Nothobranchius furzeri: one gene and its partners. The protein of the gene in region 1 purifies or fractionates together with the protein of each later gene. This does not show direct contact. Links are inferred from orthologs where the notes say so. Each region holds a gene or a part of one and is shown in the gene's direction. Other genes may lie near its edges. The genes, in order: skp2, B-cadherin, dusp1, e2f1, ccnd1, ep300a and fbxw2.

Evidence for each region.
Region 2: the proteins of skp2 (region 1) and B-cadherin purify together in Homo sapiens (affinity purification with western blotting; 3 studies listed by BioGRID and IntAct, with this or other methods). This does not show direct contact. The link is inferred for Nothobranchius furzeri from reciprocal best matches to the Homo sapiens genes SKP2 and CDH1.
Region 3: the proteins of skp2 (region 1) and dusp1 purify together in Homo sapiens (affinity purification with western blotting; 3 studies listed by BioGRID and IntAct, with this or other methods). This does not show direct contact. The link is inferred for Nothobranchius furzeri from reciprocal best matches to the Homo sapiens genes SKP2 and DUSP1.
Region 4: the proteins of skp2 (region 1) and e2f1 purify together in Homo sapiens (affinity purification with western blotting; 6 studies listed by BioGRID). This does not show direct contact. The link is inferred for Nothobranchius furzeri from reciprocal best matches to the Homo sapiens genes SKP2 and E2F1.
Region 5: the proteins of skp2 (region 1) and ccnd1 purify together in Homo sapiens (affinity purification with western blotting; 3 studies listed by BioGRID, with this or other methods). This does not show direct contact. The link is inferred for Nothobranchius furzeri from reciprocal best matches to the Homo sapiens genes SKP2 and CCND1.
Region 6: the proteins of skp2 (region 1) and ep300a purify together in Homo sapiens (affinity purification with western blotting; 3 studies listed by BioGRID and IntAct, with this or other methods). This does not show direct contact. The link is inferred for Nothobranchius furzeri from reciprocal best matches to the Homo sapiens genes SKP2 and EP300.
Region 7: the proteins of skp2 (region 1) and fbxw2 purify together in Homo sapiens (affinity purification with western blotting; 4 studies listed by BioGRID). This does not show direct contact. The link is inferred for Nothobranchius furzeri from reciprocal best matches to the Homo sapiens genes SKP2 and FBXW2.

What each region holds. Positions count from the first base shown.
Region 1 is NC_091746.1:70,421,682-70,425,701, reverse strand, and holds the start of skp2 (S-phase kinase-associated protein 2), read left to right. Parts: upstream 1-1,220; 5' UTR 1,221-1,350; coding exon 1,351-1,364; intron 1,365-1,717; coding exon 1,718-1,926; intron 1,927-2,015; coding exon 2,016-2,127; intron 2,128-2,622; coding exon 2,623-2,766; intron 2,767-2,849; coding exon 2,850-2,984; intron 2,985-4,020. UniProt on the Homo sapiens protein: Substrate recognition component of a SCF (SKP1-CUL1-F-box protein) E3 ubiquitin-protein ligase complex which mediates the ubiquitination and subsequent proteasomal degradation of target proteins involved in cell cycle progression, signal transduction and transcription.
Region 2 is NW_027223037.1:4,205,727-4,209,959, forward strand, and holds the start of B-cadherin, read left to right. Parts: upstream 1-1,433; 5' UTR 1,434-1,772; coding exon 1,773-1,820; intron 1,821-3,728; coding exon 3,729-3,843; intron 3,844-4,233.
Region 3 is NC_091741.1:101,791,696-101,795,770, reverse strand, and holds the start of dusp1 (dual specificity protein phosphatase 1), read left to right. Parts: upstream 1-1,275; 5' UTR 1,276-1,518; coding exon 1,519-1,927; intron 1,928-2,098; coding exon 2,099-2,244; intron 2,245-2,354; coding exon 2,355-2,574; intron 2,575-3,244; coding exon 3,245-3,588; 3' UTR 3,589-4,075. UniProt on the Homo sapiens protein: Dual specificity phosphatase that dephosphorylates MAP kinase MAPK1/ERK2 on both 'Thr-183' and 'Tyr-185', regulating its activity during the meiotic cell cycle.
Region 4 is NC_091755.1:51,400,806-51,404,305, forward strand, and holds part of e2f1 (transcription factor E2F1), read left to right. Parts: intron 1-733; coding exon 734-953; intron 954-1,049; coding exon 1,050-1,202; intron 1,203-1,406; coding exon 1,407-1,521; intron 1,522-1,621; coding exon 1,622-1,898; intron 1,899-3,500. UniProt on the Homo sapiens protein: Transcription activator that binds DNA cooperatively with DP proteins through the E2 recognition site, 5'-TTTC[CG]CGC-3' found in the promoter region of a number of genes whose products are involved in cell cycle regulation or in DNA replication.
Region 5 is NC_091749.1:21,576,225-21,580,414, forward strand, and holds the start of ccnd1 (G1/S-specific cyclin-D1), read left to right. Parts: upstream 1-1,390; 5' UTR 1,391-1,567; coding exon 1,568-1,765; intron 1,766-2,469; coding exon 2,470-2,685; intron 2,686-3,171; coding exon 3,172-3,331; intron 3,332-4,190. UniProt on the Homo sapiens protein: Regulatory component of the cyclin D1-CDK4 (DC) complex that phosphorylates and inhibits members of the retinoblastoma (RB) protein family including RB1 and regulates the cell-cycle during G(1)/S transition.
Region 6 is NC_091756.1:27,967,268-27,970,767, reverse strand, and holds part of ep300a (histone acetyltransferase p300), read left to right. Parts: intron 1-53; coding exon 54-128; intron 129-3,422; coding exon 3,423-3,500. UniProt on the Homo sapiens protein: Functions as a histone acetyltransferase and regulates transcription via chromatin remodeling. Acetylates all four core histones in nucleosomes. Histone acetylation gives an epigenetic tag for transcriptional activation.
Region 7 is NC_091746.1:34,116,504-34,118,991, reverse strand, and holds part of fbxw2 (F-box/WD repeat-containing protein 2), read left to right. Parts: intron 1-1,263; coding exon 1,264-1,486; intron 1,487-1,565; coding exon 1,566-1,760; intron 1,761-2,488. UniProt on the Homo sapiens protein: Substrate-recognition component of the SCF (SKP1-CUL1-F-box protein)-type E3 ubiquitin ligase complex.

The sequences.
Region 1 (4,020 bases):
GCCGTAACCCCCCCCCCCCCCCCCGCCTTGGTGAAAGCTACAGGTGACTGGTTAACATGTGTAACTGCATGTCCAGACTGTCCACACACAGAGCAGTAGGGGCGGGGAAGAGGGAGGATCAGACTCAGACAGACACACAGCAGAGCACCTGCGGGTGGAGGGAGACAAGAGGCAATGAGGAGGACGAAAAAGGCGAGCGAGAGGGAGGAGAGTGCGACGAAGACGGTGAGAAAATGAGCGCCAGCAGTCGGAAAGTGGAGATTTCTTAGTGTTCAGTTATTAAATCCATAGAAATTATAAACATTTGACATATTGCTTTTTTAACATTAGTAAATTATTTTACATATACGGTAGTTTAGCATTATTTTGGTTATAAATGTATTCTACGCAACAGAAAATCTGAGGAGCCACTTGGGAGCCGAAAGAGCCGGCTCTTTTTGGTGAGCTGAGCCAAAAGTACCGGCTCTCGAAAAAGAGCCGGAATTCCCACCACTAGATAGAACCTCAAACTAAACCCAGACATGTTTGGACTTGTAGTAACTTGCTTGTTTGTTTTTTGTTTATATTTCTATGTTTTTGTATCTGACTGTTTTTCATTTGTACATTGTAAATTGTTTTATTTAGTCATCCTGTTGAGGAACTGCAGATGTAAATTAGCAATTGTGCTATAATCTGGCCTCTTTACAATGGATACAACGTATGTGATTGTTATTAATGCGCACTGTCCCGAATAAATAAATAAATGAAATGATCGACCACCATCTCCGAGAAAGAGAGGATCACAAGCACAAACTGAAAATAAACGAGTGCGTCTGGCACCAGAAATAAGGGCGCTAGAGTCGAACACCTTGTGTATTAAAACATTTTCACACACTGCAGGTGAGGCCTCGAAGATGGGGACATTTAAGGCAGCTTTCACTAGATTCAAAAGAACACGTATTTGTTTTACCCATTTCTGATAATTATGTAGACGGTCTCTTAACATTGGGAAGGATGTGCAACCCATGCAGGGGGTTGTGGGACTAATATTATAGCATCAGCTGCTCCACTATTAAGTAAAATGACTATAAATAAGCCGATAATGATATGTTTGGTTGATTTGGTCATATTTTGGTGTGTCTGGTTGCTGCTTTGCTTATTAAATTATTAAAAACCAGAACATTTCTACTCCCAGGCGCTAGGGGGCGGTGAAGCCGGTGCGTGATGACGTCACGTCTTTTTACGTAGTAAAAACAAGGCGCGTGTGAGTTGGTGGCGCGTTTAAAGAGTCCAGTTTGGAGAGTAAAGAGAGAAACGCGAGGATTAGAAGTGCATTTTCCCGGATTAGGGTTATTAATCTGAAGCGGAAGGATGTCTCAACACAGGTTTGATGCTTAACTACATTTAGTTCCTGTTTTCTGTCTTATTCGCTTATTTAAACCAAGAAAATGAAACAAGTCGATGATCCGATTAAAATAATCCAGTTAAATAAACGGATCACTTAATCTGATGTCGGACTACTGGGGTTTCCTTTCTAAACTGCTGGTTTGATCATTTTATGCAGATTATTTTTAATGGTGTTTAAAAGCAGCTCTCCCAGTGGTTCTAGCGGTGGGACTTTGCGCGACCTGTCATCATCCTGATGGCGGGCTGGGGGCGGGGGGGTGGGGGTGGGGAGAGTCTTCCTCAGGATGAAGGTCCGGTTCTGGCTGATCAGACCCATCTTGTCCACCTGCAGCCGGACCCTGATGCACCTGCCCTGCTCCAGCCTCCGGAACAAACGGTCCCGGACCTGCCTGGCTGAGGGTCCGGACTCTGAGTGCACCCCCACAGAGTCCATCCAGCAGAGACCACCGCCTCTCAAGGTCCCACTGCTCCTCCCCAGGGGCAAAGAGAACGAGTTTGTGCTGGCCCGGAGGTCCCGGAGGAGGAAAAGCTCCAAGTCAGGTAGGAGAAACCCCCCCACCCCCCCACGCTTCCATCTGGCTGCCTTCAGAAACCTTAAACCTCTCTGATTGGCTGGTTTCTCTCCTCAGGTGTTTCATTGGATCATCTACCTGAGGAGCTGCTCCTGAGGATCTACTCTTGCCTCCCCTTGCATGACCTGCTGAGGATTTCTGGAGTCAGTAGGCGCTGGCAGCGTTTGGCGTAAGAGATCCTGCTGGACCGCACACACACACACACACTCAGAAAACCCAGCTGTGGTTAGGGTCGGGGCTTCTCCAGGGGGTCCCTGATAAGTCCCTGCTTGACCAATCGCACCTGTTCACTCGAGGATTTGTCGCTAACACCAACGATGCTCAGGTCAAGTTCTCGTGCGTCTGCGGGCAGACCCTGTTAATGGATGCTAGATAAGTGAGCATCTTCCCCCAGATGGAGCAAGAATTATTCATTCATGCCAACGAGCACTACAGAGAACTAGAACAGAGCACCGGCTGTTTGATTAGAGCCGTCTTCCTGGAGGCGTTTATTTAGTTTATGTGTTTCCATGGCAACGCCGGAAGTCCGCTTCCGTTCTGTTTCTCCTCGTATTTCATTTGAGTTTCCATCAGTGGGGCTTTGGGCGGAGCAGCAGAGACATGCAGGTGACCTTTGGGCTGGAGGGGATCAGGATCCGGTTCTGAGGTAATCTGTGTGTTTCAGGTCCGATGAGTCTCTGTGGTACAGCGTGGACCTGGAGGGGCTGACCCACGTGGGCCCGGCTCTGCAACAGGTTCTGAGGACCGGGGTCCGCCGGCTGCGCTGCCCTCGAGCTTTTGTAGAGGAACAATACCTGACCGACTCTCGGTGAGTCCGACAGCCCGGATTGGGGTCCGGTCCCAGCAGCAGGTAGAACCCCCCTGATAATGGGTTCTGTTCTGTCCTTCCAGCCCGCTGCAGATCGTTGAGTTGGACCTGTCCAGCTCTATCATCCCGACCTCGACTCTCCAGAACATTTTGGGTCGCTGCAGGCTGCTGCACCACCTGAGCCTGGAGGGTCTGCAGCTCTCCAACAGCATCATCAGGTCTGACTTGTACCGGGTCAGGATTTGGTCTGATTGGTTCTGGTTGTTTCAGACATGAAAATCCCTCACGTAGGGTCACAGCGAGGCCAGCTTTCCCAGTTCAACCAGTTCCAGTATTATCCACTGGAGGACATACTCATGAGCCCCCCCGACACCACCAACAGTAGTGGAAATAAGTCCATCTGAACCGGCGACGCGCTCGAACGCAGCTCATCTGAACCGGCGACGCGCTCGAACGCAGCTCATCTGAACCAGCGACGCTTGAACACAGCTCATCTGGACCGGCGACGCTCCAATGCAGCTCGTCTGGACCAGCGACGCGCTCGAACGCAGCTCGTCTGAACCGGCGACACTTGAACACAGCTTGTCTGGACCGGCGACGCTCCAATGCAGCTCGTCTGGACCAGCGACGTTCGAACGCAGCTCGTCTGGACCAGCGACGCTCGAACGCAGCTCGTCTGGACCAGCGACTCGCTCGAACGCAGCTCGTCTGGACCAGCGACGCTCGAACGCAGCTCGTCTGAACCGGCGACACTTGAACACAGCTCATCTGGACCGGCGACGCTCCAATGCAGCTCGTCTGGACCAGCGACGCGCTCGAACGCAGCTCGTCTGAACCGGCGACACTTGAACACAGCTTGTCTGGACCGGCGACGCTCCAATGCAGCTCGTCTGGACCAGCGACGTTCGAACGCAGCTCGTCTGGACCAGCGACGCTCGAACGCAGCTCGTCTGGACCAGCGACTCGCTCGAACGCAGCTCGTCTGGACCAGCGACGCTCGAACGCAGCTCGTCTGGACCAGCGACACGCTCGAACGCAGCTCGTCTGGACCAGCGACGCTCGAACGCAGCTTGTCTGAACCGGCGACGCTCGAATGCAGCTCGTCTGAACCAGCGACGCTCAAACGCAGCTCGTCTGGACTGGCGACGCTCAAACGCAGCTCGTCTGAATCGGCAACGCTCGAACGCAGCTCGTCTGGACCGGCGACACTCGAACGCAGCTCGTCTGGACCAGCGATGCTCGAACGCAGCTCGT
Region 2 (4,233 bases), on another chromosome or scaffold:
ACAGCGGTAATGCTAAGTATCTGCCCATGTTAGGTCTAGATCGTGATTACAGCGTGCATGTGCAATCACTCAGAAAAACAGATCATCACTAGGAGACAAAAGCACGAAGCTGCAGATCGATTATCTGAGATGCTCCCAGGTTTTAACTGGAGTCATGGAGAAATGGCATCATCACTAGTTCCGATGTTATTCCTGGATCTAAGGGAAGTCCCAAGTCCAGGAGTGAAGCTAATAGGGGAATTATGGATTATATATCTGAGGAATGTGGCCGATGGAAGCATCCACTAGTGACATCAGCTTCATGTCCGACATGGAACATGATGAGCTCTTCTCATTTGTCTCCTTCGTTCTTCATCCTGTGACTCAAAAATCAATGTCAGCAAGTCAGACAGATGTATCAATAAATAAAAAGGCACTCAGAGGGAGAAGAGTGGGCTTGCTGGAGAGAGTTTGTTTCTGTCTGATGCAACGTCCACCCAGACGGAGTTTCGGTTGTCCAACTGCAGCACAAATGAAGACAAACACAAGGAAAGATCTGGTTTAACTGGGTTTACGTGTGGAAACGAATACTGAGGGTATTCTGAATAAGTTCCTTTTGGCCCTTTAAGTGATTTGGTTTTTAAAAAGGGAACATGAAACTTCAGCTACTGTTTTTCAGAGACGTGTCCGTAGCTTCAGAGATCACACGTCAGTCACTTCCTCACACATTCATATAAACACCAGCTGGTCTGGTGTGTGGCGCCGATGATGCTAAATCTAAATGTTCAGTCTCATTTTAATTTACAGCAACGTCAACAGACAGAAATGAGATATTTAACCAAATATTCAGCAAACACACTAATACTTCAGACTCCTCCAGAATAAGAGCGGTGTGAGCAGGTCCCCTTCCTCAGATCCACTGTTATGGTAAAATCATATCAGTACGTTTAATTATGGATGATGAATCCATGTGCAGGTGTAGGCCAGATGTTCTAAACAGACAGGAGGTCCTCACCCTGCCGGGTTCTCCAGGTGTCTGAATTTGAGTTTAGTTCAACTTTTATCTTAAAGCCACTTTTGTGTTTAGTTTTAAATATTTAGATTTAAGTTTCTATACTTTGATTTATTTTCATCTAGATTTACATTTAAAGACTCAGAAGAAACATTTTAATTTCCTTAAAATACTGGAAGAAGTGACTATTTTGCAATCGAGACTTCAGCAAGATTTAGCAGTGTGTGTGCGTGTGCTTGTGTGTGTGTGTGTGTGTGTGTGTGTGTGTGTGTGTGTGTGTGTGTGTGTGCGTGTGTGTGTGTGTGTGTGTGTGTGTGTGTGTGTGCGTGCTTGAAAGAGAGACAGAGAGACATAGACAGCGAGAGAGTCAGAGAGACAGACACACACAGAGAGAGAGAGAGAGAGAGAGAGAGAGAGAGAGAGAGAGAGAGAGAGAGAGAGAGAGAGAGAGAGAGAGAGAGAGAGAGAGACTTACTCCCTGTGGATGTCTAATTGTTTTCTGTTTCTGACTGCTGAGATGTTCGTAATGAAACTCCTGGTTTCTACCTTCTCAGGTGTTCGGTCTCCATGACCATATGAGGAACCCGGAACTGGCGCACCTGTGAGCTGACGTCACACGCTGAAAGTACCTGCTGTGGGTCACCGAGCAGAAACAGAGTGAAACTCGAGGAAGAAGCTACGGACGGGATTTATTAGGGATTACGCCTAAAGTGACGTGGGATTTTAGTTCTTTGGTCGGTTTTTCTTCGCGGGGAGAGTCGACTAAAGCTCGGACACACACATGGCTACCGCTCGGGTCGCCGTTTGCTGCCTTTTATTCGTGTTTCAGGTAAAACTTCCTGATTTCCTCGAGGCGCAGTTGGATTTTACTGAGACTGAAGCTGTTGGGCTGAGTCCACAGAAACCTTTCTAACCTTATTTAGGTGTTTAAATAAGGATGTTTATTAATGAGCTTTTATTGGGATTTTTTCATGTTTTTAGCACAAACTTGTGTTTCAATTGAAAACATTTTAACGGCCGCTAAAGCCGCCAGGTTAACTTGGTTAAATGAAACTACTCGTTAGTTTTACTGGTTCAGGTCGGCCTCGCCCTCCTTCCGGCGACTGCAGGTAAAATTCTAACTGAGGGTTAGGGTTAACGTAGCAAACTAAGCGGTGGTTAGTCACGTTGGTGACCAACTAGGTGGGAAGGGTAACTAGCAGGCTTGGATGTCCTAGAAGAAGAAAAGATCTTCTGATGAAGATGAAGCGCCTCTCAAATCACGAGGTGCTTCACAAAAACAAAAATATAAAAAAATTAGAAAATGGTTAAAAATATATTTAAAGTAAGCAAAAAAAGACAATTGTGATTAAAAATGTAAAGAAAGAGAGTGAATAGAAAAGAGGGAAATCAGTGGATCCTGAGGAAGGTGGAATAGGTGGGGAGAGCAGAATAGAGTGGTGAAGAAGGTCATAAAAAAGCTACTTTGAACAAGTGAGTCTTCAGCTGCTTTTTAAAGGAGACCACTGAGTCCACTGATCTCAGGCTCAGGGGGAGAGAGTTCCAGAGCGGATGTTCTGTCACCTTTGACCTTTAGCCTGGTGCGTTGCACAACCAGTAGGCTTTGGTCACTGGACCTCAGGAACCTGCTGGGGGTGTAGGGACTAAGAAGATCACCAATGTAAGATGGTGCTTGTCCATGTAAGGCCCTATAGACCAGAACCAGGATCTTGAAATGAACCCTGAAGTTGACTGGCAGCCAGTGAAGCTGGAGGAGAAGCGGGGTGATGTGGGTGTGTTTGGAGGACTTGGTCAGAAGCCGAGCACAGGCATTCTGAACCACCTGTAGACGGTTCAGGGAGGTTCTGCTCAGACACGTGAAAAGAGAGTTACAGTAGTCTAAGCGTGAGGAGATGAAGGACTGGATAACTGTCTCAAGTTCAGACCGGGACAGAATGGGACTCAGCCTAGCAATGTTCCTGAGATGGAAGAAGGAAGAGCGAACAACAGAACTGACATGAGAATCCAGGGTGAGAGCTGGGTCAAAGGTCACGCCAAGATTCCTGACAGGGTTTGGTGTGGGAAGCAGGCTGACCAAGAGATTCTCTGACTTTGGGAACCAGCTTGTCTGGGGCACAGATGGGGATCTCAGTCTTATCTTCATTCAGCTGTAGAAAGCTCCCAGCCATCCAGGTTTTGATAGAGTCTAAGCAGGTGTGTAACAGCTGCAGCTTAGACATCTCATGGGGCTTAAAGGAGATGTACAGTTGGATGTCATCTGCATCCTAACTAGTAAACCGGCTGGAGCTGGGGTCTGATTTAAATATTAGCTGAACTCAATAATAAAACTTAATAGTCTTGCATGAATATAGAATTAATAAGTTTAACCCTCTCAGGCTCAAAATAGGTGTTGCTAAAAGGACGAACAACTAAGCCCATCAGGGGTAAATGCTCATGAAATACTAGGTGGGTAGGTTTAACACCTGCCTCCAGAGGGTTAACTGTTGATCTGTTTGGTGTTTGAGGTAAAGAGATAAGAATAAAACCAACGTTGTTTCTCTGCATGTGAAGTAAATCGTTTCCCTTTATGCTTGTTTTGAATTCCGTATTTTGGGAAAATGGAAAACTGGATTCAGTCTGAAAATGATTTAATGTTAAACAGTTTTAAACGTAAATCAATGGAGCTACTAACCCATAAAGCATCATTTTGTTTAGACTTGTTTTCTGAGGCAGGTCTGATCACGCTCTTCTCTCCTAGGCCTCGGGCCTGCTGGCAGCTGAGGAGTCAACATGTGTTCCAGGATTCAAGTCTGACTTTTTAATATTCAAAGTCAGCAGAAAACACCTGAATCGAGGCACACGGCTGGGCAAAGGTACGAGTGATCATGACACTCCGTAATGCTTCACATTCCTGAAGGGTTTCCACTGCTGGGAGTCTCTTCATATGGAAAAGGTTCATTAACATCCAAGCTTGTGCTAAAAAGCTGCATTTGGTTGTGTGAAAGCAGCCTGAAGGGCTTCAGGTCTCAGCTTGCACTCGGCTCCACACCCCAGGTAATGCGCTCACCTTCAGGTCCAAACAATGTCCCCGAGCCTGTTCCACCGGCTTTGCTTTGCAAAGGCTGTTGGGAGCTGCACTTAAGGGGGTTGGGCTTTTTACCTTTAATAATAATAATAATAATACATTTTATTTCAAAGCGCCTTTCAGGACACCCAAGGTCACTTTACACAAAACACGCAATAAAATACAATAAAACAATAAT
Region 3 (4,075 bases), on another chromosome or scaffold:
TTATATAACACATATAAAGACAACTTTATTACAAGCAAAGTGCTGTAAAATTTGTGAAATATTCCCAAACAATTGCAGAATGAGCAATGAATGTGAGCTTCAAAACAATGAACCATCACCAAATAAATAAAGATAAAATAAAAATAAATCAACTGTCATTTGGGCCAGAAAACGTGAACTTCTGCACAACTGGAAGCCTGTGATAAAAGGATTTTAAATAATAATTAACAATAATAAATTTGCATGTTAGGTCTCCCCTGAATAGCTCTGCCATTTCTGTAGTACGGCGATAGGGATCTTTATTGGAACATGAATGGCCTGGGCACTCTTGGAATACTGGCATTCCTAGCTAAATAACACAAGTGGCCCTATATTGGAATTTTAATGAAAGATGTTTGCAGACCCCATTCCTCTTCATCCAAACCTAGAAAATATTTTATTCAAGTGGTGCAGTAAGGGATCAAATGTACGGTAACACTACTACTACCACTACCACTACTATTACTTATTATTATTATTGTATTAATATTACTATTATTAATTATAAAAATAGAGGCGTACATTCCAAAATGTTATCAATTTAGCAGTAATTTTCATAAACCACTTACAGGTGAAACTTAAGAAATTGGAATATGTTGCAAAAGTTAACTTATGTCAGTAACTCAACTATAAAGGTGAAACTAATATAGACTCACGTTTAAAGCCAGACATTTCAAGCTGCTATTTGTTATTATTGTGATGATTATGGAAACCCCACATTCAAAATCTCAGACATTGAGAATATTGTGTAAAGGTTCGATGTTCTAGACTCGGTGTTACACTCTAGTCAGATAATGAACACCTGAAAAGGGTTCCTGAGCCTTTAGATGGTCTCAGCCCAAGTTGAATAACTGAAACAAACTCATTTTTCATCTGTGAACACAGAAAGTACAAATACATATTATTTCCTATCAACATCAGAATTTTATAACATGTTTCAAACATAAATGAAGAATGAAGTCACTGAGCACCCACTGTAAACAGAACGTGACCCCGTACGTGCCGTACGTTGGATCGTTTGGAACGTGCATGTGCACGAGCTCTAATTGTTGTTATTTTCGCGCGCGCCAGCCCAACAGCAGTTTAACATTCACGATGACGTACACACCACTTCGTGGCCTGGCCCGAAGCCAAGTAGGGCGGAGCTCTGACGTTGACGCACGTTCTCACCGTCAGGTTGGTACGAAGTTCGCCTCGCGCCGACTATATAAGGTGGCTCCTGAACCGTCTCGAACAGAAGTTACTTTCTGTAAAGAAGAAATTTAAGATAGGCATCGAGAAGGACTAGTACCACCGGACACACTAGCGTGAACGAAAGGACTTACTGAGATTGTCTTAAAACTCGATATATTTATTTTCTGTTGTTTTTTCTTTTCTTTTCGAAACAAGCTACCAGGAACAAAGGACACGCGGCGCGAACAGACTGAGATCTTTTCATCCAACAAGTCACACTTGAGTACCCCTGCCTTTGATCCTTTTATGCATTTGGATTTGACTTCTACATCCCGCTGTTCTACTATGGTCATCATGGAGGTTCCCACCATCAGCTGCGCGTCCCTCCATGGTCTGTTGGACGGAGACGCGCCGGGCTGCCTGGTGCTGGACTGCCGCTCCTTCCTCTCCTTTAACTCGTCCCACATATCGGGCTCCACCAACGTGCGCTTTAGCACCATAGTTCGCCGCAGAGCCAGGGGCGCCTTGGGACTCGAGCACATTGCGCTCAACGAGGAGACCAGGAACCGGCTCCTGTCAGGGGAGTACCAGTCCGTGGTGCTGCTGGACGACCGGAGCACGGACTTCGGACAGGTGAAGAAGGACGCCACGCTGATGCTTGCTGTTACGGCCCTGTGTCGCAACCCCTGCGGGGTCTGCCTGTTTCTCCTGAACGGTGAGAATCATTTTAGAAAGTTTTCACTCATAAGTCACACCGCTTGGCCTGGAGAGGCAAACAAACGCGGCTGTCACCAGCCACGCTCCGTGAATAGTTGTCCTCATTAATGGACACCAATGTAGCCGATTGCTGTCCTGTAATCTGACCCGGATGTTCTGTCTTTTTTAGGTGGATTTGAAAAATTTTCCTCCCAGTATCCAGAGATGTGTACCAAGCCGTGCCCTCCTCAAGGTCTGAGCTTGTCTCTGAGCTCCAGACAACCAGAGAGTGCAGACTCCACCAGCAGTCCTTGCAACACGCCTCTGTATGACCAGGTTTGTGTTTTTATTTGTTTACGTCCTCAAACCTGCCACCAACCACGCAATCTTTATGTTGTTTACTTCCTTCTGCATTGTTTTTGAAAAGTGTTTTTGTTGCTGTTCAGGGAGGTCCTGTGGAGATCTTGCCTTTCCTGTACCTCGGCAGCGCCTACCACGCTTCCAGGAAGGACATGCTGGACATGCTGGGGATCACTGCCCTGATCAACGTCTCTGCCAACTGTCCCAACCACTTTGAGGATTCCTTTCTCTACAAGAGCATCCCTGTGGAGGACAACCACAAAGCAGACATCAGCTCCTGGTTCAATGAGGCGATCGAGTTTATCGGTGAGCACGCACAAAACAAATACACAAACAGCTTTTTCACCCAACAGAATGTAGGCGCCGACCACAGCTGCTGCCATTCAGTCTGTTGATTGTGAGCAAAACAAACGCCCAACCCCCATCTTCCTTCATGTCTTTCTTTGCCTCCAGGATTTAAATTTTTTTAAAAGTTCCCTCCAAAACCCAACCAGCTGGCTCCATGAAGGCCCCCTGCTTTCATGACAAAGGTGGTTACATCATCACCGCCACCTCTGAGGCATTGAAAGAGGGATGCCCCCCTCATTTTTTTAAACTGAATTGCAAGACAGCAGCCCTGAACTGTTTAGTAGTCGTTTTTGTGGCTGTGCCTGAATAGCTCCCCCTTTACAAGTTTTTGTTTGGGTCGAACAAAAGGCAATTTCTCTCCACTCACAGTCACCCTTCCTGCCACTTCAGTCCCCCCAGCAGGGGTCTGTTCCCTCCTTTTGTCCTTTCATTACACCTCCTTTGGGAATAACCCCCATTGGTTCACACCCTGCTCAGCTATTAACTGTTCCTGCGTCCTGATGAGCACCTTTAAAAAGGAAATGGCAAAGGGCTTTTATGTGTTGTTTCCTGTGGAAAGTTCCAACTCTGTTTTGTTTGTTCACCTTGTTTACATCGCTCTAATCATGCCCTCTCCTCCTTCCTCCAGACTCTGTGAAAAGTAAAGGAGGCCGTGTGTTTGTGCATTGTCAAGCAGGCATCTCCCGATCCGCCACCATCTGCCTCGCATACCTCATGCGTACCAACCGCGTAAAGCTCGACGAGGCCTTCGAGTTTGTCAAGCAGCGCCGCAGCATCATTTCACCCAACTTCAGCTTCATGGGTCAGCTCCTTCAGTTCGAGTCCCAGGTCCTGGCCTCCTCCACTTGCTCCTCGGTGGCGGGCAGCCCGGCCATCGGCAACAGCAGCACGGTGTTCAACTTCCCCGTGCACACGTCTACAGCTCCGCACTCCTTCCTCCACAGTCCCATCACAACCTCTCCTAGCTGCTGATGGGAGTATTTGGACTTAGTAACTCATAATCCACAGTGATGCTGGTGTCACTGGACAGTGAATGGTTGGGTGTGTGTGTGAGTTGTTGGTAACTCCTTTTGTCAGTTGGCCTTGTCATTTCAATGGTAGATGTGACATTCACCATGAGACCGTTTTGATCTTTAACTTCCATAATGTGAACCTATTTCCAGGAAGCTTTTGGGAGACGATCCTGTTTGGGGAAATCGTTTTTTATTTAAAGGGACTGATTGTTGTTGGAATTTTGATGAAGGCTTCAGATAATCACAATCAGAAACACAACAGAGAGGCTATCGGTTATCTCAGGAAATGTTTACATAACCTCTCCAATGTCCTTTTTGCTTTTGGCACATGCAAAGAAAGCAACAGAAACCCAACATGACGTGGATCATGTGAAGCTGATGGAATGTAACCCCCCCCCCTTTTTTTTTTTGTTTCTATGTGTCATAAACCTTTCTGCTCATCTGTA
Region 4 (3,500 bases), on another chromosome or scaffold:
GAACAGCGACAAAGTGGCACTACCTCTCTCTCTGCTGCTAAAGCTACGGATAGCAAACGCTACGGGCGATGCCTGAGCGTGAACGCGCATGAAGCAGCCTGCTCGACCCGAGCATCTCTCTTTTTCTGTGATTTTACAGAAAAACAGGCAATCACAGTAAAAATGCCAGGGCTCATTCTACAGGACCAGGGCATTGCAGGAGAATGTATGAAGAAGACATTTATTATTTCTATACATGTTTTGGCTGTCAGACTTCCATAATGTCCCTTTAAGGAAGTAGGAAGTGTGTTAGATGTAAATTTTAAAGCACATGATATAAAAGGAGAAAGTCACATTTGTGCTCAGTTTTTATTCCAGTTGGGTGTTTTCATCGTCTGTTTCCTTCAGATCAAACAGGATGAGGCAACAATCTTCCTGTTCTGAAGAGTGAGGCGCTGTTCCTCCTTCAGCTTGCCTGTAATGTTGACCTCTGTGCAGCCTGTTAGCACTAGAGCAAAAGCAGAGACTTGCTGCATCTTTATCCGTACATGTGTAAGCAGGATGAGAACTCCTGTTCTGTTTATATTTCTGCAAACCGTTCTGCTGTTGTGAGCAGAAAGCTCGCCGTGCAGCAACAATCCTGCAAAGCGACCTGTTTTTGGTGAAACTGGCCGTCGGATCTGTTGAAGTCGTCTTGCATCTAAACGAGCCCGCACACGTAGGAGCCTAAATGTGTTATTTTTTTTCTACGCAGTTCCTCGAAACGCATCAGAGAAGTCGCGTTACGACACGTCCTTAAACCTGACCACCAAGCGCTTTCTGAACCTGCTATCTCAGTCGGCCGACGGCGTGGTGGATCTGAACTGGGCTTCGCAGGTTCTGGACGTCCAGAAACGGCGCATCTATGACATCACAAACGTCCTGGAGGGAATCCAGCTCATCTCCAAGAAGTCCAAGAACAACATCCAGTGGCTGTGAGCATAAAGCCGTCTTACGGCAAGGATGAAAACCTCGTTGTGTCTGTTGGAACAAACGTTTAACAAGGGTCCTCGCCTTTTTTCCCCTGGCAGCGGCAATCGGATCGACGCCAACCTGGTTTCCCGGCACAAACGGCTGCAGGGGGAGGTGTGTGACCTTACGGAGGCCGAGGAGCAGCTGGATGAGCTCATTTCCAAATGCACCCTGCAGCTCAGGCTGCTCACAGAGGACCCACAGAACAAGAAATATCCTTGAACCAGAACCGGGTCCCCTGGCTGCAGCTGCAGCGGTGAGCTCTGGTCTGTAGCTTCGGCGGCGCCCAGTTGGACCGCAGGCTGCAGATGTTGATTCATTTAAATTAGTCCTCACATTAAACCTCTAATCCAGCACCGCTAGTGAGTAAAGCAACGTGTGGCTTGAACATCTTCTCCCTTAACTTCTGTCTTCACGCTGGGTTACGTGCGCTGCCAGGACCTGAGGAAATCGTTCGACTCGCCGGACCAGCTGGTCATGGTGATCCGAGCTCCACCAGAAACCCAGATGCAAGTTTCAGAACCCAGCCAGGTGAAGGCCTCAGTCATATAATTGAACCCTTTTTTTAAGCACCTGTAACGTTTCAGTTTGTGTGGTTTTGTCCTGACAACGCGGCGTGTCTGCCTCTCAGGGTTACGAGGTGTCGCTCAAGAGCACGCAGGGTCCGATTGACGTCTTCCTCTGTCCAGAGGACAGCTCTGGCGTCTGCAGCCCTGTGACAGGAAGCAGTCCCTTGAAAACCAACCCAGATTCATCCCGAGTGCCGTCTCCATCGCACACCGCAGAGCAGTCCAGAACGTGCACAACAGCCCAAGATGTGGTTGCGTCATCGCCGGCTTCCACTTCGTCCACAGTAACGGCTACATCCCAGCAGGAAGCTTCATCGCTGGGCGTAGGTGGCGACACGGGTGGGTAACTAGAACATTTAAGTCCTGTTCGTCCTTCTTTCTGACTCCACTGGTTAGGCAAGACAAGTGACCATTATATATAACAGCTGGGGAAGCAAGAATCCGTAGAAATCTGTGCAGAGTCTGTTTTTCTCATGGAAAAATTCATCCATCCATTTTCTGAACCCGCTTTGTCCTCACAGGGTTGTGTGTGTGTGTGTGTGTGTGTGTGGGGGGGGGGGGGCAGCAGTCAATGGGCAATCAGGCGGGGTACACCCCTGACAGAGAGCCAGTCCATGGCAGGACAACACAGAGACACACAGGACAAACAATCACACACACTCACACCTAAGGACAATTTAGACAGACCAATTGGACTGTGGGAGGAAGCCGGAGCACCCGGAGAGAACCCACGCATGCACAGGGAGAACATGCAAACTCCATGCAGAAAGACCCCAGGCCAGGAAGCGAACCCAGGACCTTCTCGCTGCAAGGCAACAGCTCTAACCACTGCTCCACCTCGCAGCCTTCATGGAAAAACCATTATTGGTTCTGTGCAGCAAGGTTGAGGGTCTAATAAAAGTCCTCCAATAAGATGGTTTGTTCACGAGTCTTTCATCCACAGTCCAACATAACAATCCTTTGAAAACATAAAAAGTCTCCGTCAGATTAAAGCTGCTTTAGCGAATTAAGAGAACAAGCTAGGCGGTGACAGAACACTGACCCCTTCCCTCGGGTATCTTCCCTAATGACACTTACACATTAAGGGCCGTACGGTCGGGGAGTGTTCACGTAGTGTTCTCAGAAATGCAGAAATCCCCGAGTTCACGGGCGGTGTTCAAGACGTGCGGGAAAGTCCGGGATCCATGATAAGATGAACAGAGGAGGGCATGAGTTGTGTTGTTTTTGAGGTCTGAACCACGTCATTTTATTCATTTGCTGTGTGTTCTCATAAAACTGTTCTCTGCTCCTGTGGGACACACACACACACACACACAGACAGACGGACGGACGGACGGACGGACGGACGGACGGACGGACGAGCTTTCTCCTCCCACTGAGCAGCTGTGTGTCGGTACAAGATCTGCTCGGGTGCAAAATTGGTTCGGGGTCCGTCAACTGCTGATGACGTCTAAGTAGTTGATTGGCTGAACATGAACCTTACAGAATTACGTAATCACGTTACGTTGTTATCACGTTACGTTGTTATCACGTTACGTTGTTATCACGTTACGTTGGTCCAGGCAAATCTTTCTATTGGAAAGATGGACAACTTTTACAAAGAAATCCATCATTACCTCTTTGAAAATACACTTTTAGCATAGAGATGCATGTATATTAGGGCTGAATGATTAACTGCATGTGCAATTAAATTGCGATGTGACAAAAGGAGATTTTCTAATCTCAAAGGCTGCAATTTGGCAGCGAGTGGTTAGCGCAATGCTAATATACGTGGAAAAACCCATAGGAATGCTAATGCTAATATCACCGATTACATTCTTACAAATTATGAATTAGAAACGTGCCAAATGATTACATTTGGAGTCTAATAGAAAGTAAAAATACCATCAATCAAATAAGTACAGACAGGTATTTTAGTAAAGCCAGAAAACTTTTAACTCG
Region 5 (4,190 bases), on another chromosome or scaffold:
ATCTCATAACATCTCAATATTTCAATGAATCAGAATATGAATCTTAACAAGATTCCAAAGTAAAATGTGAAAGTGAGAGGTTCTGGTCAGAGCGACCCGGGACGCTTCACTCGCAGTCAGGAAAGTGTGTAAACTTCTGTTTTCATCATTGTACGTTTTTGTGAGTGTTTTGAGACTGTTGTTTTGAGATTGTCATCACATAAAGCACAATAAAATGTATTATTGTTATTAAATTTATTATGATGTGTTTCTGTTTGGAGTTGTGTTGTTTTCTTTACCCTGACAACAACAAAGTGAGCCTTGAGGACAGTGGCCAGAGAGGAGGCTCTATTCAGGCATTACGGTAGTGAATCCAGCAGCCAGAGAGGAATTCCAGGAATGCTCAAAGGCTCTGACTCAAATTGAAACTAGACTTGGATCTTCTGAGTTTACACAGCAGCTGTGTCCACGAACAAGTTGGTTCTGATCCAACAAGCTCTCTCACCACTAATATGTTCTACTGGCTGAATAAAGCAGCTCAAAGAGGAACATCTGTGTCTAAAGATCCAGTTCACACTTGGACTGGGTCAACCACCATCACCCAAAACAGGATTCTGCCTGGTAACAGCAGGTCCTCCCATTGGTCCAACCCCTGTGTGTGTGTGTGTGTGTGTGTGTGTGTGTGTGTGTGTGTGTGTGTGTGTGTGTGTGTGTGTGTGTGTGTGTGTGTGTGTGTGTGCGCGTGTGTGTGTGTGTGTGTGTGTGTGTGTGTGTGTGTGTGTGTGTGTGTGTGTGTGTGTGTGTGTGTGTGTGTGTGTGTGTGTGTGGATCTAGTAGGGTTAGGGTTCTGAATGGAGGTCTCATTTTAGTGATGTCACATGTTCTGGACCATGTGGTTCCTGCTGATCTGAACCCAGTAGGGCTCACAGGGAACCTAGCAGAATCCAGTAGAACCAAAACTCCACCAGTAGGTGTGAACTGAACAGAACCAGGGTCCTCTGTGGAACTCAGTACCAGAACTACAGAGTTGGACCAGTACTCGGTCTAGTTTTGGGTCGTGATAAGGTGAGATGAATGAGTTACTCCCCCCTCCTCCTTGTGTCCTCTGCTGTTCATTCACACCGAACCGAACCGGCAGCAGGACAAAGGGGGAGGGTCACTGCCGCCCCCTGCCGCCTGTTGGGCCCGGAGGCCCGGTCCCAGACCTCCCACCTCCTCCTAGGGCTAGAGGGAGGAGGGCTCTTCCTGCTCGCGCGCTTGCAGACCGCTTCTCTTTGATCTCACCTCCTCCCACCGCGGCCCCGCCCCTTAACAACAGCCTACGTCACCCGCCTTTACTTGTTCCCAAGCGAAAAAGCCGTTTGTGTGTGGGCGTACAGACACGCGCGCGCAGGGAGGTGCGCGCGGAGGTTTTGTTCGCCAGAGCGAGGCGGTCCGGACCTCAGAGGACTCGCGCACACCAGAGGGGCAGCAGCACACGGAGCAGCCCTGACACCGGGATTCAAAAATACCAGATAGAAAAGACACCGGGCCGGTTCTAGCAGGACACTTGTACCGAACCGGTTCTCTCTGTGTTCCGAGCCAAACCATGGATGAGCAGCTGCTGTGCTGCGAAGTGGACTCCATCCGGAGAGCCTACCAGGACGTGAACCTGTTGAATGACCGGGTCCTCCGAACCATGCTGCGGGCCGAGGAGAACTACCTGCCGGCTCCGAACTACTTCAAGTGCGTCCAAAAGGAAATAGCTCCTAAAATGAGGAAGATCCTAGCGACCTGGATGCTGGAGGTGAGTTTTGATTGTCCCTGGGAATGGTTCCGGTTCTGATCCGGCTGCCCCATCCAGCTCCGGTTTGGACCCGGTCTGGACTGCCGTACCGAAGGCAGTGAGGTCGAACCGATCCGGATTTACTCCAGAATTCACAGTAATGTACACGTATGCAGTCCGGCCCAGCAGGTCCGGACAGTGCGCCATCTTTGCCACCGACGAGATAGGATTTAAAGTCCGTTAAAACCAGTCAGACATCAGCCAGAACCGAGCCGGACCCACCAGGCTCCACAGAAACCAGACCAACTTCAGTTCCACTGGGTCTAAAACTGTCTTGGTTCCGAACGGCTCCGCTGAGGATGGCAGACCAAAAAAAAAAAACAGTTTTAAAGGATGAAAGGGTACCAAATGGGTCTGAAGGTTCGGCTCAGTGTCTCCGGTGTTCTCACGCGTCTGCAGAAAGACTCGGTCCTATTCTGGTCATTTTTATTCATTTTACAAGCTGCCTGGACCGGTCTGGTCCGGACCCGAACCGAGCACGCGAAGGAGCCTCGTGCCCAAACCCAACAGGTCCCGAGGGGCCGGTGTGTCCGAACGTACCGAGTTCTGGTGATTAAAGTGTGTGTGTGCGTGTGTGAGATAGAGAGAATGTGTGTGTGCGTGCGTGTGTGTGTGTGAGACAGTGCGTGTGTGGAGGACTCACCTGTCCGCTCCTCTCCCTTCAGGTGTGTGAGGAGCAGAAGTGTGAGGAGGAGGTCTTTCCTCTGGCCATGAACTACCTGGACCGGTTCCTGTCCGTGGAGTCCAGCAGGAAGAGCCGCCTGCAACTGCTGGGAGCCGCGTGCATGTTCCTGGCGTCCAAGATGAAGGAGACGGTTCCGTTAACGGCGGAGAAGCTCTGCATCTACACGGACAACTCGGTCCAGCCCGGAGAGCTGCTGGTAAGGGCTTTAGGACCGTGTGGGAGGCTGCTGCAGGCACACCAGCAGATCAGGTGTTTAGAAGAAGAAAAAGTTTCTCATTTAGCAAACATCAAGATAAAGAATCACGAGGCTCTTCACAAGAGCCAACAATAAATACTAATATAGAAAATAAAGTAAACAGGAGAGCCTGAGAGAGACAGAAACACCAGCATGAAAAGAAGCCAGTGAGGAAGAAGAGGAGATCAACCTCATCTTCATCACTAGCATCTTTTTTGAGGTGTCAAAAACCAGAACAAAGGTCACGTCACACTTCACCTGCAAGGTTGTCCTCTCCTCACGTGTGTCCATCCCACCAGAAGGTTGTGGGAGATGGAACAAATAGTGTTCTTCTGGAGCGTCTGACAGGCTTGTCTGGTGGTCTACACTGACCCCTAGTGGCCGAGAGGTGCAGCAGCAGGCAGACGCTGAGTTAACGTCTGATTGGTTGTTCTGGTCCACCCACAGCAGATGGAGCTGTTGGTTCTGAACAAGCTGAAGTGGGACCTGGCTTCAGTCACGCCTCATGACTTCATCGAGCACTTCCTGTCCAAACTGAAGATCCATTTGTCCACAAAGCAGATCCTCAGGAAACACGCCCAGACCTTCGTGGCTCTCTGTGCTACAGGTGGGTGCTGGACGTCAGGATTCAGGAGTGGATCCACACACACACGCACGCACGCACACACACACACACACACTAGTGTTGTCAAAAAAATCGATACCTAGATATAAATTGATACTAAAAGTGGTATCTAAATTAGATATTCCATCCCTGTGGTATCGATATTATGGACTATTATACACAGCCTTCTTCAAGTACACCAACACGCACGACAGCCAGATGCCGTAAAGAAGCCTCCGCCTCCCAGACAAACAGAAGAAGAAGATGCCGCATGGCTACATTGCAATTTCCCACGCGAGTTGTCTCCGATCCAAGTTTTGTCTGCCAAATAATAAACAAAAACATAAACAGCGAATTTGGGAGGCGCTTCACAGCCCAACTTCATTAGCATACCAAGTCCGACACGTAGTTGTATATTCACGCTTATGTGCTTAAAGGAAAACTCCCATTTATTGCAACCCGGACTTAATTTCTAGCATGCAGTACGTTTGTTTACTCACGCTGACAACTTTGGTGCTACTTGGATTCTCCGGGGTATTTAGATCCATCGGCAAATCGCCATCAGCGTATATCCATATAACGGGTGCGGACGGGCACCCATGGTGCAGCCTTGAAATAAGACATTATCTGCACCAAAACATCTCTATGTCGAAAGGTTTAGTTAGGAATCATTAACATGATTCCCCTGTTCGTTTGGAGCGGGTCTAGGATTTCTAGGCGTGAACAGACTAGCCGCGGCTAATCTAACCGGTGCTTTTAATTACGTCACTGCTGTGCGCCAATCTGTTTTTATTAAGATTACCGGTAGATGTACCTTTGTCCTACTGTGGAGAAATTCGTTTTCTCCCTTTATTGACCAACA
Region 6 (3,500 bases), on another chromosome or scaffold:
CTTTCTTGTTGTGTTCACTGATGAGTGTTTTTCTGTCTGTCTGTCCGGTTTAGACGGCCCACTCCCTGACCCGTCAATGGTGCGTCCTCCTGGACCCAATCCGATGGTTCCCAGGATGCCAGGCCCAGGTACAGAATCTGTTCTGAACTTAAGACTATTGTTCTAGAAATGCTCCAAAAACTCAGCTGCTGATCAGAACCTGCCCATAAACAGCATGATCAGCTTAATCAGGCCGATTACAAATTCTGTAGTTGTTTTGATGAATGAATAAATAAATAATGAAGGAATAAACACAGCATTTGCCAAGCTGGAATGATTGTCTTCAAGTCTGTGAACTCACCATCGCTACAACAAAACTAATTTACTCTAACAATAGCAGATTTTAAATCTGAAACAATTTTCATTCTAGTTTATTTCAACCTCAAAGCAAGTATCTTGCTAATTATTACTGATCAGAATCTGTTTACTGGTCGGACACGGGGGTGGACTGGCATTCTGGCACTGTCACGGTGGGGCCCCCCACCCACTCCTACATTTGGTGGAACCCCCCCCCCCCCCCCCCCCCCCCCCGCAAGACCGGCAGCGTAAACAGAGCGTGCACGAGGATAACTGGGCGTTCTCTCTCATGTGCATTTTTTAAAAAAGTGGTGAGGGCGGTTCTTTCCTGAAATTCAGAAATATCCTCTGCCACATACATTAAAGGCCAAAAGTTTGGACACACCTGTCTCATTCAATGTGTTGTCTTTATTTTCATGACCATTTACATTGGGAGATGTGGAGTTATGTACTTAGCCCAAAAAGGTAAAATAACTGAAAACATGTTTTATGTTCTATTTCCTTCAAAACTGCCACCCTTTGCTCTGATTACTGCTTTGCACACTCTTGGCATTCGCTTGATGAGTTGATGGTTGCACACGTTCCCCTGCTGTTTCTCACCAGTATCAGCTGATGGAGGGCTCTAGTTTCGTTGCGCCGTTCGTGTCAGCGGACACGGTAGGGTCGGGGAGGGGGGCGGGGCATGACGCTTAGCCTGGCTGGCCGCCAGGCTTATACAGCGCTGGGGGAAACCCTGCGTACTGTGCAACCCAATATTTTTTATTAACAAATAACAATCAATAATTATTTATTTGCATTTTCTTGAGCCAGTATGTGCTAAAATTACCCTTAATAGGGTTAATGAAATGTCACTCAGACCCCCACCGCCCTCTGTGGCCAGAATTTCACATTTGCAACTTCAGAGTGCCAGTCCGGTCTGCTGGACTTAGAAAAAATTTGAGCTTACATACCTGTCGCTGCAGCCTGGTTCCAGTATGTTTTAGATCAGGAGCACAAGTGATTTGTTTGATTTAGTGATGAACCACTCCTGTAGACACTGAGGAAGGCTGGGGAGATGTTTGTTGTTAGATTAAGGTGTTAAAAAGACGAACGCACAGCGAGGAGATAGGTTTTGCTTTCGATTCCACAAAAGGACACTAGGGGGTGCTAAACGTAAGCCAAAACAACCTAGTCTCGCCTGAAATGTTTTCATTAAATGTTCCTGTTACATCTGGAAAAGACAGCGATCCCTCCCTGCACACCATAGTGCTGCTTTTATTGATAGTATCAATGATTATTGCCATCTCATCTGACCACTTTTTAAAATGCTTTCATTTATTTAATTATTGATATTCACTGATTGCTCTGCGGCTCCACAGCTCACCGCTGTAGCAGCGCAGAGCCACTCGAAGGGAATAAAACAATTTTTTTTGTGCCTACATCACGCCCCAGAGCCTGGATTTCCATCTTGGTTGTCATGGTTACCTGTGACATCCTGTCAATAAGCATGTTTATTTATATGCACAAAATTCATCATGCAGCTTACATTGTCCATTTATTATTAGAGAGTGGGTGTGTAGAGGCAGGATGTAGTCGACAAACACCTGAGCACATTTGTTGGACAGCTGTGATTTTTAAAGCAGAAACAGAGTGGAGCCGTGCTTAAAGTAGTGCTAGTCTAAAGTAGAGTAAGTATTCTTTGCAAAGTTTTATAAATGATGTCCCAAACCTGGTGTATCCCAATACTTTACCTCAACTGTTAAAATCAGAAAAGTTGGCGTCAAAATGAGGCAGTTTGTTCTTCTATGTTAAATATTGCTTAGACAATAATAATGTCTCAGGTACAGCATAATCCTCTGTAGATTCTTCAGAAATTAATCTATTTTGTGTGGGTCCAACCAAACTGTATGATTAAATTCACCTACACATGAGCAGCACGTGACAAAGATGATTTATTTCAGTAATTCCATTCAAGAAGTAAAAGTTGTTAGATTAATTTATTACACACAGACGGATATTTTTCAAATGTTTATTTATTTTCAAAATCCATTCAATAATCCGGGGGAAATTCACAAAGAGGTGACTGCAGCTGCAGTAGGGTTGCAAGGACTAACCGGTTTGACTCGCGTTAGTGACTGAACTGATTTAACAGTAATATTAGAACAATCCAGTGAACAACGGTTCATATTGTGTTGTTCTACGTTTCCCCCAAATCTGAATACAACAAGCCTGTACTGCAAGCCATTTTAATATTTAATCAACTACACCACTCTGTGATTCCTGTTCTACTTAGCAACTGTATAATTCATCATTGTCCAAATAATATTCTTACTGATGAAAATTCAAAGGATACGAATAAATAGAAATTATATTTAAGTAATAAGTAATATTCATAATGACAGCTACACTAGTAGGAATTTAGCATTTTAATTCATGAAGGTGTCTCCATCCTTCAGTGCTTACCCTGACCAGCTGTCGACAGTTGAACCTTTTTGTCTTTTTACAGAAACTCAAAAAAGCCTATTAGGCAAGTATAATTAAAGGTGTGGTTCACTGAAAAAACATTTTTAGTGATTATTTCTGATAATCAATCACTCGGGTTTTCATGCAGGCTGAACATGAAAATAGTCTCCTACACCTATCTCCTGCACCAGCACCTGAATTAACAGATCACACTGTAAGTGGCTTTGGACAAAAGCGTCCGCTAAATACATAAATGACAGGAAAGAAGACGATCACACCGTCAGGTGAAGAAATGCTGAGAACGATGCTAAACACTGTGAGGTTCAGGATGGACATTAAACACGCCTGAAATCTTAATCGTGATCAGAGGTGTTGCTACTGGGCAGGAAGAACACACACTCGGTGTTTAGTTTATTATCAGTCTGTGCATTTGAAGTGATAACATGTAAGAGGTCTAAAGTAAATAAGTGTTGGTTTTTATTAGTAATTTCTTTCTTGAATGTGCAGTCCAGACAACTTGTTATTAATGTGGGTGTAATTTAAAGAGAACTGTGATCTCAGTCATCAATGATGAAACACCGATTCCCAATTTAGCAAGAATGGTGCGCTCCTCAATCCTCATGATGCTCTGGCTATCTTCTTAGGTATGAACCAGTTCAATCAGATGGGGATGCAATCTATGGCTCAGAGGTCCACACCGCCTCTGCCCATGGGAGCACCTG
Region 7 (2,488 bases), about 36 Mb from region 1:
ATGTTATGATTAATATGTTTAATGAGCAATATGACTTTGGTCTAACTGCACTCGACGTCCTGATCCACGTAATGTCAACACATGACACATTGTTTACTCATCCAATCAGAACCTTCATTCTGAAGCGTGGCAGAGTCTCTGTGGTGTTTATTTAATCTGTCCGCTGCGATTCGTCCAGAATCGTAAACAACCAAGATTAATAAAACAGAACAACGCCATTTTGAGTTCAGTATTCAGCCAGCTCTCGATCATCTGATGTCCATCATCGCTAAGTGAAGTACGGACTGGCCATCTGTACGTTTTACTTTTAAGCTGAGAACTGTCAAGCTGGAAAATCCTGTCGTTGTTACCAACAAAACAACGGTTCCTTCAGAATAAAAGCGGAACTCGCTGACCCAAAGGGGGCTCCCTTTGATTCTGTGAAACATCTGACGTTTTTACCTGGAGACTATCCATAGACTGGTTTGTCGACGCTGTTTCATCGGCTCCAGCACCAGAGGAGGGTCCGAGGACCTGGCAGCCTGATCTAACACGGGAGTCCCTGACGGGTAATGTAGAACGGCACCAGATAGCGTCTCATGTCTTTCCTGACTAAAGTTCAAACGTCGATCAGTTAGGAGCAAAACATCATCTCCCACTCAGACTCGCTTCTCCAGACGGAGGTTCTGAACTGACATCGCACCAACACACACTCCACCTCATTCCATTCCATTCACATCCATCACTAGAGAGTTAGTCCTGTTAATTGTTTAAAATAATTTAGATAATAAATTTTTCTTAAACGTTCCGAGGTCTCTCTCTCTTCTCTTGTCTCTCAGTTCATGCAAAGTGTTTAATTTAAATTTCCCTGTAATAAAAAGAACTCTTCTGATTTAAGAAAGCCCAGTGTCCAGAGATGGGACCCATGCCCCAGGTATGGATCATTAATATCTCTGGTCATTAATGAAATTGTAATACCCTTCATTTCCATTGCACATGCGCAACAGAGACACACAGTATAAAAACCATAGGACCGGAGTTGGGGAGTACTATGGAATATGGAGACTTCACAATAAATCAGCACTTTCTCTTTTTTCTGTTCTGTCTTTACCTCATCATATATCTATATTTCTACCATGGGGACTGATTAGCCATGGTGGTTACCATGGTGACTTAATGAGTCAGTGATGGTTACAGTAGCTACCCTAGCACATCAGAGGTAGAATGTTTGATTTTTACTAAGCTGTGTGTGCGTTTGCGTGCGCGTGCGTGTGTGTTCTCTAGGTGATAAACTCGTGTACAGAGGTGTGGCAGGGTGTGTGCCGGGAGCTGGGTTGGAAAACCGACGAGTCCATCCAGGATGCAGCACACTGGAAGGGGGTCTACCTGAAGGCTAAACTGCGCATGATGCAGCTGAAGGACCAGGAGGCTTTTGTGACATCATCACTCATCGGCCATAGCGCCCGAGTGTATGCCCTCTACTATAAGGACGGCCTGCTCTGCACAGGTGTTTAACCTGTAAACGTTTTGCAGCACGCAGGTTCTTCTCTCTAGAACATCTCACTGTGTTTCTCCTTCTCTTTCAGGCTCTGATGACCTTTCTGCCAAATTATGGGATGTACGCACTGGACAGTGCATTTATGGAATTCAGACACACACATGCGCCACAGTGAAGTTTGATGAACAGAAGCTTGTGACGGGGTCGTTTGACAATACTGTTGCATGCTGGGAGTGGAGTACAGGTGCTAAGATCCAGCAGTTCCGTGGGCACACCGGCGCAGGTCAGTGGAAACACCGTTATTGTCTGCATTATCATTGGTTGAACATCTACAGCTGGTTAACTGTTAGAGCCAACCAGATCCAAGATGTCAGCCACCGCTAGTTATTATTAACCGACACTAAAACCGCTCTGACTCAGTCATTCACATCACATTTGGGTGATAGCAGATCACAGTAGCTACGTTTACACGGGCACAAGGAATTGGAATGAACGCCCTGTCAGATCTAAATTTCTTCATGTAAACTTGTCAGTCAGAATATTCTGATCCAATATGGCCCAGAGAGGTGGTTTTGTCCGATCATCAATCTGACTGACGTCCATGTACCCACTCATTTAGTTTCCTGGAGTAAAATAATTCCCTCTGTGCAAGTGTACAACTTCGCCGTGATGTGTTTGCATCCGCTCAGGACAAGTGGAAAACATGGTGGGAGGTAAACAGAAACTGTCCTGCTCTCCTCTCCTGTGGCGGAGGAGCAGTAGCGTTACGAACCGCTGAGCCTGCAGCTTAGTTAAAGTGATCAGTCAAACAAAAGCATACAGGTAAAAATGCGAAGACGGTCCATAACGGGAGAAAAAAAAACAGTCAGCCGACAAAGCTAGAAAATAAAATGCGAGGGGAAAGACGTGCGGAGAAGATGACGTTTGTTTACTATTTTTTCCCGGGAAAGACAACTCTGCGCATGCTCAACCTATTTAATCTGACTGAATGCTTGGTGTATGTAAACTCAC